2 linked regions of the Sus scrofa genome follow. The protein of the gene in region 2 interacts with the protein of the main gene of each other region in a biochemical or structural test. Links are inferred from orthologs where the notes say so. Each region holds a gene or a part of one and is shown on either strand. Other genes may lie near its edges.

Evidence for each region.
Region 1: the proteins of KLHL12 (region 2) and LNPK form a complex in vitro, tested with the Homo sapiens proteins (2 studies listed by BioGRID, with this or other methods). The link is inferred for Sus scrofa from reciprocal best matches to the Homo sapiens genes KLHL12 and LNPK.

What each region holds. Positions count from the first base shown.
Region 1 is NC_010457.5:81,802,548-81,807,171, reverse strand, and holds the start of LNPK (protein lunapark), read left to right. Parts: upstream 1-1,467; 5' UTR 1,468-1,615; intron 1,616-2,040; exon of another isoform or gene 2,041-2,265; intron 2,266-4,624. UniProt on the Homo sapiens protein: Endoplasmic reticulum (ER)-shaping membrane protein that plays a role in determining ER morphology. Involved in the stabilization of nascent three-way ER tubular junctions within the ER network.
Region 2 is NC_010452.4:24,899,971-24,904,487, forward strand, and holds the start of KLHL12 (kelch-like protein 12), read right to left. Parts: upstream 3,012-4,517; 5' UTR 2,411-3,011; coding exon 2,342-2,410; intron 2,152-2,341; exon of another isoform or gene 1,732-2,151; intron 297-1,731; coding exon 57-296; intron 1-56. UniProt on the Homo sapiens protein: Substrate-specific adapter of a BCR (BTB-CUL3-RBX1) E3 ubiquitin ligase complex that acts as a negative regulator of Wnt signaling pathway and ER-Golgi transport.

The DNA of each region.
Region 1 (4,624 bases), on a different chromosome or scaffold from region 2:
TCTAGATCAATTACCTAGGGAATTTTTGTCTCAGGAATAGGTTTTTTGGAATCTATTGCACCCAGCTAGCTCTTCTCCCCTTCTATTTTTGTCCCATTTACATTAGATCTTGACAGTTCAATTAAAACTACAAAACAAATTATTAGCGAGTAGAAAATAATTCCTTATTCTCTTAGGAAGAGATCATCCTGAGGTGGGGAGATGTATTTGCATAACTGCACAGGCCTTTTTTTAAACAAACAAAACTTTGAATTGCAAAGGATGAAAAACAAAATGGTTAAATTTTCATGCCAAAATAGATAAAATGTTTTCTTCTCATTTTCTTTTAGATTTGTAAAGTGACCCAGATTACACAAGAAGAAACTTTGGTTCCCTTCCCCTCACATTTACAAGGCTGGAACTAAAGATTTTAGCAGTTAAGGAACTCCACAGTGAGTCATCTGATAGCTTCCAGTATAATAAATTATTCTTACCAAGTAGATACTATGCTCACTTTCTTTTACTTAACCTGTTTGGTGTCAAGGTTTAAACATAGCATATTAAAATGATTATACTCTTTAAAAATAATGGACACTTTAAAAATTATTTTAAAATGTGTATGTAACTAAATAGAAAAATCCCATGAAAAATATCTGTACACAGGGGTTAAACATGACAAAAGCTTTTGCTGAAGTTTCTCTACGCCCACACAACTTAGTGCGGTTCAAGTACCATTTGTTATTTAGACCTGTCATTCCCAGTTGACTAGGAAATTTAATGCTTTTTAGCCACTGTTTTAAAACTGAGGCAAATAAAACCTGGGTGGTTTATTTGCGGGCCTAGTACCAGCACCTGTGACAGGAGTGTTCTTGGCTAAGAGTTTTAAGATAGAAAAATCAGCTTATGTTGTTATCCACAGGCTTTAAATCAATATCATTGTGCCTTTGACGCTAACCACACACTGGTGAGGTAAGCATCCAGTCACAAAAGACCCTTTTTGACGTCCAGAAGTCATAAAAGCCTCAAGCACTCCTGGAGTCTAGGCTGAATTTCTCCGCTGGCATGTTTGGGAACTGGTCTCTTCCAAGCTGTGTAGTATTAACTTGCTCTTCTGGCGGCTGGACGACAGCTGATTGGTGACTCTTCGGGGCGGACTCATCTCCACCCCCAAGCCCGCTCTTCTATCTCTCGGTCTAGGACCATCAGGACTAATTTTGGGGTTTTCTTTAGCCGGTGAGACTTGGCAGAACAGGCTGTAAAAGAAAACGAAGCAGAGGAGGAGCAAGAAGTAACCCCTTTGGTAAGAGTCATAATAAATGGCAATCCACCTCTGAGATGCGACGATGAGCACCCTACTTGGCCACGGAAACCACAGGGACAACTGCCCTGGGGCCAACTGTCCGCCGCGCCCCCAACTGCCCGCCCGGTCACGATCACGTGACGGGGGAGCGGCGCGCGCTGGCCGCGGCTCCGATTGGCCGGCGGCGGGAGCGCGGGGTTTGATGGGAAGGTGTTGGCCGGGCCTCCAGCTCTGTCAGGGGTGGCTGCTGCCTGCTCTGGAGGCGAGCTCCGTGGTGGCGGCCGAAGGTGGCAGAGGTGGACGCTAGCGCCGGGCTTTGCCCGCTTCTTGTTGAAGGTAGAGGGCTCAAAATGAAGGCCGGTGGGAGAGTTCGGCAGTGGGGAGGCGCTCTGAGCTTTTTCCTGGGAAATACTCTGCTGGTCCCCACGCTTGCTTCTCCCAGGCGCCTCCGCCCCACGCGGAGTGGCCTAGGAGCTCTGTGGCGGCGGCTAGTCGAACTCCTGCCCGGCTGCTCGTTCACCCAGTCTCGCCGCCGGATCCCCTTATTGTCCCAGCACAGTGGCAAGGGTGGCCCTGGAGTGCTGGAGACCCCTTTCTGTCTCCCAATGGGGAATTGGTTCCCCAGCCTTTTCTCGGAGATTTCGGGGTTGGGTGGGGCGGTGACTGGGACGAGCTGAGCATTGACTCTTTGGCCCACTTCTGTGTTTGAGAGAAAGGTCAGAAGGTTTTACACTAAGCTATTGCTTTGAGTGGGTTCTTACCCATGTGGTCTTTTTCTGAGTTGTGCGGCGGTGCCGAGAGTTGGAAAGATCGTGAGGGACCGAAAACTGTCAGTGTCATGCTGCTCGGCCCATCCTTGTGGGCGTGGATTGTGCGCTAGCTACTTAGAGAAGCCTCTGTACCTCTGTTGTCCTTATTTGAGCGACGGTGGGCGGTGTAAGGGGTGGAGGGAAGGGCGAGGTTTCGTGTGTGTCATGGACGAGGCAGAAGGGGAAGAACAAGAATTAAAACAACAGTAGTTTTAATTCTTGAACACTGCGTATGGGATTTGAGAGAGAGCTGGGATTAGCGAACTCAGTTTTGCTGATGGTGCTCTCACTGTACTAAGTAAAATCTGAGTCACAGAATTTTCCACGTTCCGCTTTTCCCAGTAGGCTTCTGTTTTGTGGCACCTAGTGTCGATTGTTTTCTCTTTTCCCTGTGGCCTGGGTGTCACCATTGGCAAAATTGTCGTCACAAAATTCAACAGCAGTTTGTATGGATGTGAGTAAGCTTGGTTTCAGGCATATGTTCAAACTGGCAGGGAATGCTAATCTCTTGTTCTCATCGACTCTCATATCTTCATTTTAGAACGAAGTCGATTTTGAACAATTTTCTCCTTTTTTTTGGAACACATTTTTTAAAAAACGAGTGACGCTTTTGAAATTAGAATTTCAAGTTTTCTCTGTCATCTACTGGGATCAGCCCAATGCTGTTAAAAACTTAGTGTTTATATATATTATTAACTTGAAAAAATGTAAGAAAAGGAAGAAATTATATGGCTTACTACAGGTATGATTTATTACAGAAATCTTTTAATCAAAGAGTCATTTTTTGTAGTATTTAATTCAGAATGAACATTGACTTACCATGAAGACTAGAACTTAATCATTATATAATAAAAGTGCTTTTAGAGCTGTATTTCTTTTCAGTGATTTTAGTTTTGAGTGATAAATGTGGTTTGGGATATTTCAGAATTGTCTTTCAGTTAGGATATTTGGAAGTTAGTGTTCTAGAATAGACACTTTTAATCTCAAGTTGAATAGTAAAATGCGTTGTAGTGGTGGTGTTGATGGTGACTGAATAGTTTCTACTTAAGTTTGGAACTTGATAAACATAAAAGTAAACTTCCTTTGCTGTTAAAGGCCTACGAAGTTATTTTTAATGAAGAGTCTTCAGATTATTTTGCTTTATTTTTTATACTGGAGAAAATGAGAACAATACAATTTCAGTTAAAATGCAAACTAATTTTATTTTCCAGTTTTAAAATTATGAAATAGGTCCTTTATAAGAAGTTAGAAATGTGTTCCATATGAGAAGTATTGCTGTACTACATGTGTTTTCTGGCAATAGTAATAATAATGACTATAATTTATTATGCACTTATTTGTTGGGCACTGTGCCAAGTGATAATGTAATTTCTTGTAATTCATAGAACAATTCTGTGAAGTGTACATATTTTCACCACTTTACAGACGCTGAAACTGAGGCTTAGAGAGTTTAGTTTACTGAAGATCACATAGCTAGTATGTGGTTGAGTCATATTTTGATTCCAGGCCTTTTTTATTCCACTATTTCGAAATGACTTGAAGTAAGCTGAAGATTTAAGAATAACATGTCCGAGATTCTGACACCTAAACCTGAATGTGAATAGCAGTTAGTAGAAAACATACAGATAATATGGTGAGCTTTATTACTTATTGAAAAACACGTTAGATGCATCCAGCTCCAAAGGTCATGTGAAGTCCCACTGTAATACCAGAGTGGAATCACTTGAGATTGAACCATCTGTCCACTCAAGGGCAAGCAAGTTGATTTATGCTTCAGAAAGAAATGCTAGTTATTTGATTCCCATGTATTTTCCATGTTTTGAAAGGAAGCAGAAATGGACTAGAAAACAGCAACAGCCACAACAGTAAAAACAATTTGTATCAAGAAATTAGTATGTCACCGGCTGTTGTAAATACTTTAGAATGCATTATGTCACTTAAAATTTTCAACATTTAAGAGGGCTGTTAACTATCACTCTTTTGCATATGAAGATAATAAATAACTGAGAGATTAGGTACCTTATTTACCCAAGGTTTCATAGTAATGGGCCGTAGGAATTGGAGTTAAGATGTTTGAGTGGCGAAGTGTTTGAAAATAGAAGAGGTATGAAATCAAAGGAATAGAGAAAATAATGAATTTATTTAATTTTGTTAGGCTTTCATATTTGTTGGAAAGTACTACGTTTACATGTGCATTATAGTAAGTCAAGCTTCTTTAACAAACGCTGGAATCTATAGAAAAATTTCTGGAACAATGAGGGTTGATTGGCTCTTTGATTATGAATATGGCATTGACTATTACCATGGTTGTTGTTCTAGAGGGCAAATTTAGAAGCACAATTCCCTCCTTCAGGGATCTTAAAGGGCAAGGCATAGTTTGTTTCATTAACAGCAAAACAATTCTCCAAGCAAATAATCAATGTCAAAGTTGCTATTAATTACAATATATGTATACATTTCCTATTATATGTATTTTAAAAGTGATATGCAGTAAACAAGTAGAGGCAGTGCTTGCAGACTTCTAGTACCAGTTCTG
Region 2 (4,517 bases):
CAACTACAAGGTGATGTGTGTGGGCTCCACTTGTGAGGAGATAACTTACCACTTACCTCACTGGTGAACATGGCGCAGAAGTAATCACTACAGGCAGCCAGCACAATCCGATGGGCAGGGAAGTCTTTCTGTTCTACTCTCAATGTCACATCACAGAGGGTATTGCTCTTCCTGAGGGAGTTCATTGAGTTGAGGATGGATTTAGCATGAGTGTTTGTCATTATGTCTTTGGGGGCCATAATGCCTCCCATCAAGCAATATGGAGAAAGGATGAAAGGGGTCCTTGGATGCTGCAACTACAAGAGAAAAGAAAAACAAGGACCATATTTGAAGGAATTGGGAAGCTAAACATACTGTTAGCTCTACAAATTAAGGAGGCTCCATCAGACTCAAAAATCTTCAAGTAGGGAGCTCTCCTATTCCTGGCATTACGAATACAATTTAGCCACTAACTATAAATAAAAACTAAAATAAATATAATAAAAAATAATAATAATTATAAATAAATAAATAACAAATAATAATATAAAAACTAAAATAAAACTAAATAAAAATGATCTCTTCTTCCTCTGAATTCCATAATCATCAAGTGCCCCAACCATTTGACAAATACTATGATCAATACAACTGCATTATAAGTGGAAAAAAACCCTACATTTCCTGCATATCTTCACAAGGCTGTTGTCTCACGTGACAAAATGAAAAGACAGAATTTCTTAAGGGTGTGATATCATTGTTTTTAATATCCTCAAGTAGATTAAGTAGGTAAATATTTATAGGGTGGGGATTCTGATTTATATATTTTTTTCTTTCCCAGAAAATGTACAATAAATGTTTAGTAATAGAGTGCAAGAAAAGAAAAACTGTGTATTCAACCTAGAGCAATAAAGATCAAGTATTAGTGAAAATAAACTTTTTTCTAAAATAATGCAAATAATTATTTTTGATGACTTTCAAATATATCCGGATTTCTTCAAAAAGTGAAACTTCAAGTGAGGACCCGATACCTATACTGAACAGTGGAATCCATGCACACTTATCTGTGGACTTCCACTAAAGCTACTGAAGCTCTTCTACAGAAGGGGCTTCCCACTCTACATTAGTTGCAAAGGTTCAGCAAAATTAACAAATCGGTATTTGTATTTCTATACTGAAAGAGTGACTTACTAGGATAGGACCTCTGCTACTAATTTCACTGCCATAGCCAGTCACTTGTAAAGTTCACCTGCACATACCAATTAAATGAACTAAATAACAGATTACATCTTAACAAATCAATATAAGAAGTACTTTCCTGATTGACAGGCTTTGGTCACACTAATTTTTTTTGCTTCAAAAACAGTTTCTGTAGAATGAATGGGGTGGTTATTAAGAAAGCCTATCTTATGTAGGCTCCAGAACTTTCTGAAATGATCCAAGGAAAAAAAAAAAAAACAACTGGTTTTCAAGAGTCCACAACTCACAACCATAATTTGATATGAAAGCAAAAACGAGATCCTAATTTCTCATCTACTCCTGTTCATAGTTAGCATATTATTCTATAGGCACTCTATGTTATCCGTCCAACAACTCCGCAAGATCCATTTTACAGCAAAGCATACGATGTTTTTCAAAAAGGTCGTCCTTGAGTCAATGCAGTTTCAACTCCGGAGATGTGAGAAAGGTCTGCACAGACGCCCGTTTACCGTGAAGACCTTCGGGGTGGGGAGGGGATGTTACGACAGGGCTCACCTGTCAAACGGACTCGACCCCAACGCGGCGCGGTCTCTCTGCCGGGGTACGCAGGGTGCGCCCCGATCCAGGGTTGACCTAGCCCGGGCTCCAGCGAGTTCCCTAGAGGAGAGGCTGCGCCGCGGGCTGGGTCAGATTCGGGGCGGGGGAGGGGGGCTTGCAGGCTGGAGAGCAAAGCGGAGTCCTCCCCGACAGCTTCAGGTGGAGGGCGAGGCGCTCGTCGCCAGGACACCGCCCGGCTGGGAGAGGCCGACCGGGAGAAAGGGGACGGAAAGGCGCTAGCCGCTGCCTCCGGGCCACTCACCTGCGCTCTGGCCCGCGGGGTGGGCGCGGGGCTAGCGGGCGGCTCGGGAGGAGCCCAAGCACCGCCGCCCCGACCCGAGGCCGTCCCCACCGTCGCCGCGCGCAGTGATGACGTCACGACCACCCAGCGTCACGTGAGGGGCCGCGTCACGTGACCCGCAGGTGTGCGGGGCTAGCTCCAGAGAACACGGCGGTGCAGGTCCCCACCCGGTGACTGGTCCAGATGCTCCGCAGGTCCCCAGGCGCGGTGGACTGAGAGGATTCCAGAGTTTTCGAAGCTAGAGAACTGACTGCAGAGAGTGTTTACCTGACAGGTATTCAGGAACCCTCTCACATCAAGAAAACTCACGGAGGCTTCCAGTGTCTTCATGTCCATTTTCCACAATGGCCTTTTCGAGCTGTGATGAGAATCCTCTGAGCCCTGCGACCCTGGGACCTCAGCATTCTCTGCATCACAATCGGGCCTCAACACCCCTGGGTGTTCTCTGCTTCTTGCACTTCAGGACAGTTTAGTGGAAGGAACTCACGGCCCCTCCGAGGGAGATTCCGAAGGGTCTTCTTGCAAGTCCCAGGAATCCTCATCTCCCCTATTCCGATTCTGCTGCCTTTCACAAATCTCGGAGGCTGAGTGTTGTGCTAGTATTTTTGCTTCTGTTTGATTTTGGTACACTTATCTCAGTGGCTCAGAAGGGAATGAGGTTCCTTGATTCAGTTCATGCGAATGTCCAAACCAATTGTGTTTGATTGTATTGTTTTCCTTTTGAGGGGGGCTTGATTCTTTAGGGATATTAAAACTGTAGCTAAGTGGGTAGCAATCTAATTTTACAGTAGTGTCTCCATCTTTCATATCCTATCTCTGGTCTAAAATTGTCTCTGATTTGTATATTGTGAGTGCAGGATTGGTACAAGTTTTATTGGGGGCATCTTGGAAAAATTCACCAAAATGATGAATGCATATATATATATTCCTTAACAATGATCTTTAGAAATTTGGAGTTCCCGTCGCGGCTCAGTGGTTAACGAATCCGACTAGGAACCATGAGGTTGCGGGTTCCATCCCTGGCCTTGCTCAGTGGGTTAAGGATCCGGCGTTGCCGTGAGCTGTGATGTAGGTTGCAGACACGGCTCGGATCCCGCGTTGCTGGGGCTCTGGTGTAGGCCGGTGGCTACAGCTCCGATTGGACCCCTAGCCTGGGAACCTCCATATGCCGTGGTAGCAGCCCAAGAAACGGCAAAAAGACAAAACAAACAAACAACAAAAAAAAACAATGATCTTTAGAAATCTATCCTTTGTATATACTCACACATGTAAAATGATGTGTGTGCAAGGTTGTTTGTAGATTGGATTGAAAACAAGGGTTTTTTTGGGCCTTGCCTGTGGCAGGTGGAAATTTCTGGGTGGGGAATCTAATCTGTGCCCCAGCAGCCACAGTAGTGACTACGTGGCATCCTTAACCCACTGCACCACACTTAAGGAACTCCTGGATTGAAAACAAGGAGTTCCCATTATGGCTCAGCTAGTTAAGAACCCGACATAATCTCCATGAAGATGCAGGTTTGATCCCTGGCCTCTATTAGTGGGTTAAGGATCCAGTGTTGCTGCAAGCTGCAGCGAAGGTCGCAGGTATAGGTTGCAGATGCGGCTCAGATCCGGTGTTGCTGTGGCTGTTGCATAGGCCTGCAGCTGCAACTCCCATTTGACCCCTAGCCTGGGAACTTCCGTATGCCACAGGTGTGGCCCTAAAAAAAAAAAAAAAGAAAAGAAAAAGTTTAATGCCCATCTGTAGGGGACTGGTTCACTAACATATGGCACATCCATACAACCCAATACCATGAAGTTGTGAACAGTGTGTATACTTTGCTATTAATTGTGAAAAAGTTTGGGAAATATAGTCATATTTGCTTGCATGTGTATAAAATGCATTTTATAGATACAAAATAAAGCAGTAACATCACTTTCTTGGAGAGAGTAACTGGTGAGTTGGGAGACAGGATGGGAGGGAGATTTTTCCCTTTATGTATTTTTAGGCCTTTTGAACTTTGTTTTTTTTTGTTTGCTTGTTTGCTTTTTAGGGCCACACCCTCAGCACGTGGAAGTTCCCAAGCTAGGGGCTAGAACTGGAGCTGTAGCTGCCAGCCTGCACTACAGCAGAGCAATGCTGGATCTTTAACGCAATGAGCAAGGCCATGTATTGAATCTGTGTCCTCTTGGATGCTAGTCAGATTCGTTTCTGATGAGCCACAACAGGAAGTCCAGGGCCTTTTGAACTTTGCATTATGTTAACTAAAAATATGTATAATTTAAATAAAAATAATCCTTTGGTTTTTGGTTGCAGAATCTTTGATGATGTGGCTTTAAAACTGAGTTCTGGCTTCTAAACTGAGTTTTTCCAAATATGAGCAGATACTTAAGAAGCTTTGTTTGGAGTATGCCTGCCCCTTTTCCAGAGAGTAAAAGTGGAGAAACTGCAATCAAGAAAGCC